3 linked regions of the Schizosaccharomyces pombe genome follow. The gene in region 2 interacts genetically with the main gene of each other region. Each region holds a gene or a part of one and is shown on either strand. Other genes may lie near its edges.

Region 1 (4,369 bases), on a different chromosome or scaffold from region 2:
ACTATTTAGACGTAGTGCTCTAAAACAAACACGATAATACATTATTAAGTAACGTATATAGAATACGCAGAGAAGCAGTTGTTATTAAAAATACTAATAACTTTCAATGTCACCGTTTAAAATTGTAAAATTGTTTTCTATAGCAATTCAAAATCTCTGAATGAGGAATATCAATGTTTTGGGTTCATGAAAGTGGTTTCATTACGCCGCATTTATAGTAGTGAGATATACAAATTGCCAACCACACGCCTTCACATGGATACCTTGTATTACTATTATTTCGTAAGCCATCTAGCTGCAGCATTATTTGTTGATTTACCTATAACTGAATGGCTTGGAGGCTCTTTAAGCTGTCTTTCTGGTTTGCGACGCTTTTATTTATCTACATATGAAGACCCTATTCTTTTAATCCCTGCGCCTTGGAAAACTGCATTGTTTTCTTCAGAACTTTTCTTTCAAGTTCCTTTTTTTATTTGGGTTTCTCTACGCTTACGAAAGAAAGCGAGGGATCCAGTTTTATGGGTTGCAATTCTCATATACGGGGTGCATGCTTTTACTACGACATGGTGCTGCATGTTCGAGTTATTTGCTGAAAAAAAATGGATGATAATGAGTTTTTATTTTCCTTATTTGGCCATTCCTTTATGGATGGCAATTGATATGGGTGGCCGATTAGTCAAGTCGTGTCATGCTGCCAAATCAGGTCCTTCCTCTACCATAACCTCAAAGAGTGATTAAGAAAACACAAAAATGAATAATTTAACACCAGAAAATATTCGTCAAACGATTTTAGCAACTCCTTTTCTATTAAATCGAATACGCACAGAGTTTCCTCAACTAGCTGCTGTCCTTAATGATCCCAATGCGTTTGCTACTACATGGCAGTCCATTAATGCTTCTCAATTATTGCAGATTCCTTCTTCTACATATTCGATGGGAATGCCTTCATTTTCTGTACGTTTAATTTCGCATAATAGCGCCCGTATAAACTGCTGAGTCCAATAATTTAGTTTTAATGGACACAATAAATAAAGGGCTTTCGAAGGTGATTTACTAACATTTTTGTAGGAAGATGACCTCTTTGATGTTGAAGTCCAACGACGTATTGAAGAGCAGATTCGTCAAAATGCCGTGACCGAGAATATGCAATCGGCAATAGAAAACCATCCTGAAGTGTTTGGTCAAGTTTATATGCTTTTTGTAAACGTTGAGATTAACGGTCATAAGGTGAAAGCATTTGTGGATTCTGGTGCTCAAGCTACCATTTTGTCTGCTGATTGCGCTGAAAAGTGCGGTCTTACCAGGCTTCTTGACACTAGATTTCAAGGTGTCGCTAAGGGCGTAGGAATGGCTAAAATATTAGGTTGTGTTCACAGTGCACCTTTAAAGATTGGCGATTTATATCTTCCATGTCGATTTACTGTTATTGAAGGTCGGGATGTTGATATGCTACTTGGTCTTGATATGTTACGCCGTTATCAAGCTTGTATAGATTTAGAAAATAACGTTCTTCGGATTCATGGAAAAGAAATTCCTTTTCTTGGAGAATCTGAAATTCCAAAATTGCTGGCTAATGTGGAGCCATCTGCAAATGCACACGGTTTAGGTATTGAACCTGCAAGTAAGGCGAGCGCTTCTTCACCTAATCCACAAAGTGGCACTCGTCTTGGTACCAAAGAAAGCGTAGCACCCAACAATGAGGGATCTTCCAATCCCCCTTCCTTGGTAAATCCTCCCACTGACCCCGGTTTGAACTCCAAAATTGCACAGCTAGTCAGTATGGGATTTGATCCATTAGAGGCTGCGCAGGCGTTAGACGCTGCGAATGGAGATTTAGATGTAGCTGCTTCTTTTCTCCTTTAACGACTTAATTCGATTTCGGGGAGATTGGATATACATAATCAATGATTTTAGTCATGATAAAAATTAGGGAAATGATTATTTTCAAGATCGGTCCTGTTCTACTATTGTAGACGAATTCTTTCAAATTAATGTGTTTTATATCATTTTTTATGTGTTTTGTATCAGAAAGTAAAAATTCTATATATATGCGTAATTGCTTAATCAAACTGAGTTTTATATTTCAAGATTAGTTTTTTCAAGTATTTGTTATTTTAATTTTACGTTCACAAAAAATGAATGTTATTTATTTTAATACTTAGAAACTTTTATGGTTTCATTGGTTTGACGTACGTAGGATGAAGTTTTCTTACAACCAAATTTAATCTTATTCCCTACTTCATGTTTAAAGTAGATTGGGACTTAGGTCCAGTAAGTAAAAGCGCATCAGACCAAACGAAAGAATCTAGAAAAGAAAAAAAAAGAAAGAAAGGTGAGAGAAAGAATGTAGGAGATAAAGGCGAAAAGCTCAACGAAAAAGTTTTAAAAAAGGCAAAGTCGGTTACCACAAACAATTCCCTGAAAAGCGAGATTAAAAAAGAAAAATCAGTCCCTTCTATTAAAGAGAAAAACAAGGGGGATGCTAAGCATACTAAGTTAACGTCTCTTCAACAAAAAATGAAAGATAAACTAGATGGTGCCAATTTTCGATGGATAAATGAACAATTGTACACTACGGAAAGTGACAAAGCTGTACAAATGTTCAAGGAAAATCCAGATTTGTTTGATATTTATCACGCTGGTTTTCGATATCAAGTTGAAGGTTGGCCGGAAAATCCTGTTGATATTTTCATTCAACATTTAAAGATCAGATTTGAGCATTCAAACGCAAAGAAGAAAAACAATATTGTAATTGCTGACCTCGGTTGCGGAGAAGCTAAAATAGCTTCTACATTTAGAAAATCACGTTCTTTGCAAGTGCACAGCTTTGACCTTGTTGCTCCCAATGAACATGTGGTAGCCTGTGATATTGCGAATGTTCCAATGGCTGACGAAACTGTCGATATTGCTGTATTTTGTTTAAGTCTTATGGGCACCAATTGGCAATCTTTTTTGAAAGAAGCTTATCGTATTCTTAAAGTCGGTGGTTTACTTTGGGTTGCTGAAATCAAAAGCAGATTCTCTGATAAGAGTGGAGAAGTTTTTGCTAAAGAACTTCCAAAATTAGGCTTTGAAACTAAGTCCATTCAGCTTCAAAACAAAATGTTTACTCTGTTTGAGTTCAAAAAAGTACCTGTACACGGGAAATGTGAAGAACTCCCTCCCATATTAAGTGCTTGCATTTACAAAAGAAGATAAACAAGGTATTGTTTAGGAAAGAACTGGTCTTTCGGTATAAGAAGGTTTGGGGCTCTTGTATAATAGGTTTTGTTTTAAATTTTGGGATAATATAATATTAAACGTTTACTCTTTGTCAATCGGAAGACGGACTAACGGAAGAACGATAGGTTTATCAATATCGCATGAGAAAATAGGTTATATATTTCAGAAATAACTGTTTCGTTAGAGCTGTGAATATTCGCAAAAGCAAGCAAGAGTCACAGGCTGTGTCTAATCGTTGATAATGAAAAATATAGCTATACCAAAGACCCAAATGCTACATTCTAATTGATGGAGTAATCTATTGGCTGGCTTGTCATATCAAATCATTCATCATTTATTTTGATAGTGCATGGGTTAGACTTTGAGTAATTATTAGATTTTTTTTTAGAATATTAACTTGTGCTATATTAGCATCCTATATTTGATATGTACCTCTAACTTGTAAGTCAAAATTCACATTGAAACAAAAAGCAAAATTCGTTTATTTTTGAAGACAACATTACGAGTATCTTGTGAATCGATAAAACATTTGAATTTAATCCATCGCGGTCAAAGAATAGAAAGAATTTTCCATCCAGTATATTAGTAATTATTAATTATAGGTAGCTCCAGCAACTTATTCATGTAGCACACATATTTAGTTGCCTTAAAGGATGAAACAATGACCAAATGCTTCATTTTTTTTAGCGCTTACAAACTTACAAAGTCAATTTTTTAAAATTGCGTGAACTCTTCTTTCGCGAAGCGAAGGCTGGAGACTACAAATGATATTCATTGAGCACGAACACGACTTTGGTTTAAAAAATGGTACATGAAAATTATTACCAGAATGGGAAATGAGTAGCGTACTAAAACATTTGTTTGTCAACAATACTTGAATTAAGTAACGTTGTGAGTACTTTAAAACGCATTTAAATTGCAGCTATGAATTTTGCAAGGAGGGAAATGATCATTTTTAAATTGTTCAATCATATTACGTTTGGTATACCGATTCGACGTTTGTTTTATCTTCTTCCTTGTAATGAATATTATGCCTTAGTATGTTTGTTAAATAATGTCAGCAATACTGCACTACGATATGACAACTACGTTGCGTATCACTATATGTCACATGTTCAACATCATATCATAGATATCCGTTGATAAC
Region 2 (4,900 bases):
GGAATTCTGTTGTATTGAGAGGCGACAAGGAAATCGTTGAAGCCCTTGAGACCCGATTATTGGAGATAGTTGAAGAGCTGAAGAACCAAGTCGAAGAGAAGATTGAAGTCCCGCAGAGATGTATAAGCTCAATCATTGGAAGAATGGGCTCCACTCGTCGTGACATCGAAAGGAAAACGTCTACCATGCTCAACATCCCGAATGTTCTTGACCCTGAAGAGACTGTCACTATTACAATCGTCGGAAGTCCGGAGAATTGTGAAAAAGCCAAGGAAATGATTCAAGAGAAGGTTGCCAGTCAATATACCCAGATGATTACAGTTCCCGATACGGTCTATGAAAGTATAATGAAAGGTATTTTAATGAAAAAGCTTCGATCCGATCTCAAAGTGTTTGTTGATACCCCCGAGATCAAGCCTGTACAACCCACGGAGGTTGTTCTTGAAGACCACGAGGATGGCGTTTTCCCTTGGAAACTGGTAACTCACGACTACACTGGTTCTTCTTCATCTGAGTGGGCTGTTCGAGGACATAAGGAAAATGTTGAAAAGGCTATCGCTTCATTGGAAAAATCTATCAAGCAAGTTATGGAAAATTGTATTGCTTACTTGGGTATCCCAACGAACTTGCACCGTCGTATAATCGGTTCTGGTGGCTCTATTATTAATAAGATCCGAAAGATCGCCCAAGTTAAAATTGATGTTCCTCGTACTCCAGGCGATGAAATTGTAGTAGTCCAAGGAAGTCGAGCTGGCGTTGTCAAGGCTAAAGATCTGATTTTCGAGAGACTTCAAGAAAACCAAAATCAAGAGTAAGGTAAAATTTTGGAGCCTTTATTTAGTACTTACATTCATTTCTCAAATTTTTTTGAGAGTGTATTTGAAAATTATGTGTACGAAATATCATTTTGTCGCTCTTTTATTACTACATGTCATTTTTTAAGGAGACGGAAATTGCTTGAATCGAGCATTTTCCTTATTGATTCCTTCTTTGCTTTGTTACATTGCCTTTGTTTAATATTACAAATATAGACGCATAGGAAAAAGGCGTACCTAGTGCATTTATTCAATCTTTTCAGATATAAACATTGGAATGTATAGATAATTCAAGAAACTAGAATAGTTGAAATCTATGATTTTTTATGAGAAAATAAGCATTGTACGACAGATAGGACACAACAAGTTTTAGTAAAAGAATATTATAAATTTACAAACAACGAGCTAAAATTTAACCATTTCTCAAAAGAAGAACCATATTAGGACGTTTTTTTTTTCCAAATAGCGTAAATAAGTTAAAAAAACCCAGAAAACCCCAAAATAAAGAACACCGGAAGTAAGGAGAAATATGAGACGAAAGAATGTGGAGTATGAAGTATATAATGAAAGAAACAAAAGGCCTCGTACAATAAATAGACTATTGAAGAAGCGCATCGCGGAAATGCTTTTTTGTGTTATTCTTAATACCCATCTTGTTAGCAAATTCCTCTCTTCTTCTTTGGTCTTGGAATGATTTGATATGAGAGGCACTATAATTCTTACGGCCATCGCGAACACCAGCTATACTTGTTTCAACAGCTTGTCTATAAGCTCGGGCATTACCACTCATCGCACGTCTGGCGACGTTCTGATGAATAGAAGCACCATCTCCTACAGCGGTAGAACTAGAGTGAAGATTTTGGCGGAAGTAGCGAGATAACGAACGATGGCCCACACGATTACCAGAGGGTAAATGAAGTTCATATTCGTCAGCAATGGGTACACGACCCATTTCAAGACTATCTAAGCTGGAGTTATCTGAATCATCAGAAACATCTTCCCAGTCTCCTTCACCAGAGCTTCCATCTTCTTCTACGACAGTTTCGTCTTGCTTTACTGCATAGTCAGGATACGATGTAGTAAAATCATAAAAATCAGAGAGTTCAAGCTGTTCATCTTCTGTATCATAGGCAATAGAGGTATGCCCCTTTTGCTGCATATGGGCACGAACAGCTTCTAGTGATTTAAATTCACGATTGCAGGTAAGGCAAGTAAAGCCGATAGAAATTTTCTCTGCTAAATAATCGAATAGACTTGGTTCATCTACCAAATATTCCCGCTCAGGAATGTACAAGCTATGAGAAGCCTTCATATGCTTCTTGCATGTATCAAATGAAGAAAAAGAGGCTGCGCAAAACAGGCAATCTCTTGGTGAAAGACGTTGACTACTTCGACGAGCAAGTTCAGCTTCAATTTCTTCAGGAGTTGGTTCTTGTGTAAATAGATGAGACTTGGAAGCTTCGTTCGATTGAGGTATGGAAGTAGCCAATTCAGTTTTAGAGGGTTCACTTTCTCGACCATGAAGAGATAAGTTGGAAAGGGATATCGCCCTTGATGTCAGTTGTGAAGCTAAATCTTCTTCTTCCTCAATTTCGCTATCAACTACAGGTTCACCCATTGACAAGGTTGAAGAAGCAATACTACTTGCATCTTCACTTTGAAGTTTCTTAATACGGCTGTTTCTTTGAAATTTGCTCAAGTTATCGCGATGCTTCTTCGAAGCCATATGTGATGAATAGGCGCCTTCTGAATAAAACTTTTTATTACATACTTCACAGTTTTGATAAAATTCTGCTTTTTTCTGGACTTCCTCGTTCTGCTTTTGAATGGACAAAATCTTTCCAGCAAACACCTCAGCACTCAACGGCGGCAAGCTAGCAACCTTTCTCTTCAGATTATAATGATGCCAGTCAGACTTCCAATGTATTTTCTGTGATTCTGCATTATTGAAAGCCACAGTACAAGTCGTGCAAGCAAAAGAAGTCGACATTTCGGTATTCTGTCAAGTAATTCAATTCTTAGCCAGTACACTTTTTTATCGAAAAAAAAATTGATATTGAAGCCGAGTCTTTCCTCAAATATATTCTTTGACTCAAACTAACTTAATGAGATGAAGTCAACCCTTTTTTACAATACCTTGCACAAAAAGGTGTTGGTTGAATCCAACTTGCCTACGATCAACTATTGCCTACATAACTTGTAGCACCACCAAATTATTTTAAAGTGTCAAATAATTATCAATTTTATTGAAATCAAATAAAATTAATTGATATGTTAAACATCTTAATGTCTTGTTTTTTTAAACTTAATTTATGCATCCCTCAAAAACATTTTCTATTGCTTAGTAACATAAGGCGTACCTTTTGATTAACCAGTAAGTCCTAAGAAAACTCATATATAGACAAAGGGCTGGAAAGAAAGAAATGGCATGCATTGTAGTTTTAGCGAGCACACGAGCTCCCACTCTTCAGGGTTTAATTAAAATTGAGTATTTGAAATTGAGGTATTTTTGAGTTAGTTTCGTTGGAATAATCATATAGGAAATACATAATAGAGTTTAATGTCTTTTCCTTTTGTTTAATAAGTTTCCTTGCCTCAATAAGAAAGTTAGCACATGTGCTTTCTTATCTCTTTTCCCTCGGGGTTTAATTAGTGTTAAAATTTCGTTTTATGATAAATGGTCAGCTGTTTCTTTTAAACCTTTCACTAAATGACTCAGTGTTCCAGGATCTCTAGCACGATTGGGATACCAATCCTCAAACAGATTATTCCATAATTCCTTCTCCTCAGTATCTTCGGGTGAAAAAAAGTAAGAAGGGTTTCCAGATGATTTCTCTTTAAATTTCATTGACCATGCTTTAAAAGTTTCAATTTGTTCCATGATTTCTTCTTCATTCATCAATTTCAAGTCATCGTCACTAAAATTTATATCCCAATTATTTGCCTTTGATCCAAGAAACAATGTAAGCATCGTAATTGTAATCTGCTTATAGTTAGCATTTTACTCCACTAAATGTGATTGAAATCAACAGTCATAAAAGATAGATAGACAGCAACATTAGAGACTTACGAAAACTTTGCTTAAAAAGGAGTTTCCATTTTTTTGCTTCGCAACCTTAGCTGCTTTTAAAAATATATTTGTAAAAATACAGTTTCTATCTCTCATATCAGAAAGCAGAAGAAGAAATAAAACTTTCAAAGAAGAATAACAGACGATAGGACCGACTTCAAGACTACAAATTTCGCATAATTTTTCTGACAGTTTAATGTTCCAATCATTGACGTCTCGCAGACAGACCATTTCCTTTGCAAAGCATCCAAACTTATTTAAAGCTAAAACCAAGTTTTGCGTTTCACTTGTAAAGTTAGCAATCTAATAACAAAAAGAAAAATCCTTACTCATTGCCATTCAACTGATTTTTTTTGTTTATTTTTTTTCTTTGAATGTATGCATTGAGTTGCTCGTGTAAACTTTCTGCTAAATCATTATATACATTGTCAATGGCAAATAATATATCTTCCTGTACAACTTTGTTGACCGCCAATCGGTGGAAGAATCTGCTGCACAAAATCATCAGGAAGTTAACGGTAGTTGAATTAAATATATCCAGTATTTCTTTATACAACTTTGAAAAGTCCTTATGAAATTCTCTCTTATAAAGAAGCTCGTCAGGAATTTGCTCTACGCATTTTATAAAAAAGTATGATGAAACACAAGATTCTCTGTATTTCTGTAATAGTAATGGAAGGTTTCGTAACATTGCTTGCTGTTGGTTTACGACCTCATCTTCAAGTCTTTTACCTGGCTTCTTCGACTAGAGGTTTAGTAATATGAAGCTTTAAATAACTTACTCTTTTGCTAATATGTGTTGCAAAATAATGGAGATAGATAGAAGAAAATTCTATCACTGCGTTGCTCGGTATACAGGGGTTTAAGACACTGTTAGTATCTTTTGCATCAAAGCGATCATAAAGCAAGAGCTTTGCAACATCCTCCCAACTGGCAAGTAATTGTGAGTTTGTATGAATGGAATGCATGCTTTCCTCAATTAATTGCTGCCTATGATTATTCATATCATATTCTC
Region 3 (4,274 bases), on a different chromosome or scaffold from region 2:
CGGTAAAAGTTTGTGTCTTAGGGTCATATGCCGTTTCTGCTTTGCCAATCTGTGAAGCCTCCCACAGTTGCATTTGTCTTCTCTTTGACTCTAAGACTTGATGTGGGTCAACTTCTGATTGCGACTATAAATATGGTTAGTAACTGCTCTAAAACAACGTTATATTGTCCTAAGTGCTGTTTTATTCTATATTCATATTTGATCCCTACCTTCACATTTTCTTCCATTGAAGCCAAAGCACGAATTCCAACTATATATATTTCAACTGGTTTATTCTTTAAAGAAGACCATGGTATTTTGAGTGTCAGTTCTTCAACCAAACCATATTGAACCGAAATTGGTAATTCTAGTTTACGGAAAGCCTAACAATTTTATTAGATACAAAATCAAAATTTTCAATATAATTCATCTTATAATCTCATACACTCCGTTTCAACTGCAAGTTTCGTAGCGTAACATCTCCGTTCCAAACAGCGACTTTTAACTGAGTAGCGTCAAAATTCTCAATGTATTCTCCTAAGAGTCGATTTAAAAAATCTTTTTCGTTAGTTTCGTATTTAATACAAAAGACTTACTTGCTAGTAACCCTTCTAACATATTGAAGGGAATACGGTGAGAAACAGCAAACTGTAAATATTTTGAACTTTGCTTTACAGATGGTTTCGAACGCTACAACTACTGCGTTGAGGGTTATAAAGATAGAATGTCAGAGCATGACGTGAACGCCTACACCATAAGTAACATTAAGCTAAGTAACAGACATTTTCAAGAAAAGAAAAATCTCGTTTACGTTTGTAAAAATTTCAAGAAATCCATTAGAATATGTTAATAAAAAAAATTTAGTTTCTGTTTTCTTTGAAGAAGTAGCTACTAAAGTCGGAGTGGTTCAGCGGTAAATCATAGCAAATAATTTTTTGGCAGCAGTCATGATACAGGTTTAACAACCATTCCCATTTTTTTAAGGTATAATTTCATGAATTGAAGGAAGAAGATGTTTTCTTGCTCCAATTGAGTATTAAGCAACTGGAAAGTTCAATGTTAGTAAAAAGAATCGGATAAACACATTTTTCATAACCAATTTTAAATGGCTAAAATGAAAATATAAGTACCTTTGTATAGAGACTCTTTTTTTTAGGAGGTCCTCTTTTTTCGTGAGGCTCATGGTGTGCTAAAGGGTGCTGAGATGGAGTAGGTTGAGCGTCTATCGATTGTGAAGTATCTGCAGCGCCTAAGTTCTCCATAACTTTTTCTTTTTCCTTATTACCATCAATTAGTACGTGTGAATACAACTAGAGCAAACCTAAATAGACATACTTGTTTTGAGCGAATATTACTCTCTGTTGGCCAATTCTTTTTTCTCTCCTGAATCCAAGCTTCAATTTCCTCAGGTGTATTAATGGAAATATTCCTTCGCTTCAAGTATTCTATTCCATCAACTGCACAAGCTCCCCTAGTATTTCCGGCATGTGAACCCCCTCGAAAACTTCTCCCTCTTCCTCTTCCACTGCCTCGCTTTGTTGGCTTAAAAGAAAGATCTTGATCCATTCGCCGTTTCCCATGCCTTCCTACATTTTCTGTCTCACTACTAGAATTCTTTTGAGTCAAGGAGGCAGAAGAATTCGTTTGCTCAAAAGGTTTGTTTATGATGGGAGGAGGTGGAGGTTTATCATATATAAATGAGGTAGGATTCATCCCAAATAACTCAAAGCTTCAAGATAAATTCTCAAATTGAAAAATTAGTTTTCAAAGTCAATGTATAATCACCGCAACGCGAAATTGCAAAACACAATCAATAGAGTAAGGAACGTGTTTCTCATAAACGAGAATTTACAGAAATTCCAAAATGTAATATATGATTATTTTTAAACGCTGTGTTACCCTGATTAACAGATTCAATTGAAGTATGGTTTTAAAAAAATTTACGATGACTGGTTTTGATGTAGGTGTGTGTATCAGAAAATATAAGACGTCGATGTAGGACTAAATTAGGTTTTGCACCTTTCGCTTGATAAAGCAATTATAAAAAAAATAAGCCTTTAATTGCTCCAAATTTCAAATGGAGTTGTGAATAATATGAAAAAGTGGCAAAAAACATTGAGTGTATACAGCAGAATCATACACCCCAACTCAACAACTAACTTGAAAACGAGATGTAATGTAGAACAGCAAAATACTACTAATTTCACAGTATTAGCTCCCTATTGAAATAATTAATTATTCTACCAACACTAGACTATTTGTGCAATATTTATTTCATTCAGTTTAATTTCAGTTATATAGAGGGACAGTGATAATATCCAGAATGTATAAGCTAATTTCACTTGTCGATTTTTTAACTTTTGAATTTCCTGCTTTACATCTCTGAAGCAAATTAAAATTGATGAGTGTATCAACAATATCCTTACTTGAATATAGTCTGTCCTAATATTTACTATGTATAAAGAAGCGGCTTATACAATTCTCATTTATTGATTAAGTTAATTTCTGTTAAGCTTTACTATGAGAATGGTGATTTGAATCCTCTTTTGGAATTAACTATGTTTAAGCTTATGTTTTGTACTGCTCCCGAGATCTTAACTGAAGCCTATCGTCACCTCGTCAATACGAATTTTTTTCAATTGTAAAGCATATGCAATAAAATATAGAATGATTATTTAATATAGGGCCTTTATATTATTTTTAAGTCTTTGTGGTATTTTGTAGGGATATACTGTCGAAATGGATTCATTTCATCCAACACCTGGAAAACCGACCACAGCAACATCAAATTCAAGTCTGAACTTTTTTGTAAGAAACAGAGAGAAAAGTATTAGGTGCTCAAGCTTGCATCAAACTTTTACAGCCCCTTCTCCTGAAGCTTCACCGTCAATCGGATTAAGATATGTAAATTACTCAATGAGCGACGAAACTGATGAATCTATGTTTCCACTTGATTCAGAACTGACCGATATGGAAGATGATGATACCGAGTACATATCAGACTCTACAACAGACTTGCCGTCCGCTGCCATGGCTAGAGGAACTAGGCAGTTGAGTTACAATGAAAATTTGGATCAGCGTTCGTTTTCTAAGACTCCAAATAAACATATTGAAGTAAAAAATTTAAAGGACCTTTGTAGTCCCTCTCATTCTGGAAGAATTTCGAAATCTTTGTGTCCTGTGTTACGAAGAAAGTCTTTGCTTCCCAAACCGAAAATGTTCCAACGCGTAGCCAGTGCCTTGTATGAAGAATCATCTCCTCTGGAGTTGGAAATCCGTAGTGAATCGGAATTTTCCAAGATGTTTTTCGAGCCTAAAAAATCATCATCCTTTGTTTCTAGAGCTGCTTCGCCTGCAATGGTAGGTCCGGGTGTACCGTTTTACAGTTCTATAACAGGTGCAAATGGTAATGTTCTCGCACCATCAGGATCTTTGAAAGCTGTTGAGAACTCTGATGTAATTGAGTCATCTGCAGAGGACAGTAGTAATACGGACAATCCATCTACTAAGCCTTCGAATGAGATGCCCATATCTCCTCTGCTTTCCAGTTCTGTATTTTTTAAGGATACAGAAATGTCAACTCCGAATAGCAATCACTCCAGATCCCGTACCCCATCCTCGAAAAAGCGAACTCGATGGGGCGAAGAAATAATCGACTTATCGAAGAGAAGAGCTGTATCTCCTTCCATTTATTATGATTTGGATAAGAAATGCTCTCCTATTCATTCTGTTATGGTCAGCCCCTTGAAGATTAAGGATACTCACGAAGTCTTGATGAATTTAAAGTTATGAACTAGCTCACGCTGCGAAGTGTGTATTTATTTGTACAATAATTGAATAATTAATTTCCTATCTTTTTACGCAACTTATTTTGTAGTAGCTTTTTATCATGTTGAATCTAGTTTACAATGTTACAGCGCCGTTATTTTTATTACTCTTTATAAAGAACAGCTTGTTATCATATCATTGTTTTGATATGTAAACAAAAGTCCTAAAAATCCGTTTACGGTTTCAGCAGCATAACATTATATTCTAAAATTTAAAACGACTTGAGATGTGAATTACTTTTTATTTAACGAATAACTTACAGCTTTTAAGCATATTTTACTCTCATAGTATATTTAGGCTTCGCCTCTTTGAATCTCGCTTTCTATTTTCGTTCCCCCAGGTAGTCTCTACTTTAACCTATACTGCAAGAAACTCAAATAATGGCTTCACAAACCATCCCGAAGTTAAAATCAGTATTATACTGCGATGTTTGTACATTGCCCGTGGAAGTACGTAATAAACAACTT

What was found. Genes that interact genetically often act in the same process or in processes that back each other up.
Region 1: mutations in rei1 (region 2) and rrp8 together harm fitness more than expected from each alone (negative genetic interaction), as found in Schizosaccharomyces pombe (one large-scale study listed by BioGRID).
Region 3: mutations in rei1 (region 2) and rsa1 together harm fitness more than expected from each alone (negative genetic interaction), as found in Schizosaccharomyces pombe (one large-scale study listed by BioGRID).

The regions. Positions count from the first base shown.
Region 1 is NC_003424.3:1,138,380-1,142,748, forward strand, and holds rrp8 (rRNA methyltransferase Rrp8), read left to right. Parts: upstream 1-2,229; 5' UTR 2,230-2,241; coding exon 2,242-3,198; 3' UTR 3,199-3,623; downstream 3,624-4,369. Other genes in the region: protein ema19, read left to right, coding at 187-738; UBA domain protein Mud1, read left to right, coding at 751-954, 1,069-1,863. UniProt on the Schizosaccharomyces pombe protein: S-adenosyl-L-methionine-dependent methyltransferase that specifically methylates the N(1) position of adenine in helix 25.1 in 25S rRNA. Required both for ribosomal 40S and 60S subunits biogenesis. Required for efficient pre-rRNA cleavage at site A2.
Region 2 is NC_003421.2:1,220,203-1,225,102, forward strand, and holds rei1 (ribosome biogenesis protein), read right to left. Parts: upstream 2,980-4,900; 5' UTR 2,806-2,979; coding exon 1,414-2,805; 3' UTR 1,037-1,413; downstream 1-1,036. Other genes in the region: vgl1 (vigilin), read left to right, coding at 1-815; meiotic cohesin complex STAG protein Rec11, read right to left, coding at 3,484-3,798, 3,886-4,171, 4,215-4,630, 4,668-4,900.
Region 3 is NC_003423.3:4,331,432-4,335,705, forward strand, and holds rsa1 (ribosome assembly protein), read right to left. Parts: upstream 1,955-4,274; 5' UTR 1,693-1,954; coding exon 1,315-1,692; exon of another isoform or gene 1,257-1,314; coding exon 1,110-1,256; exon of another isoform or gene 1,034-1,109; intron 1,024-1,033; coding exon 925-1,023; 3' UTR 747-924; downstream 1-746. Other genes in the region: vps1302 (lipid transfer protein), read right to left, coding at 1-124, 210-362, 425-537, 576-597; protein Dbl6, read left to right, coding at 2,719-3,771; tma22 (mitochondrial translation initiation factor), read left to right, coding at 4,188-4,256.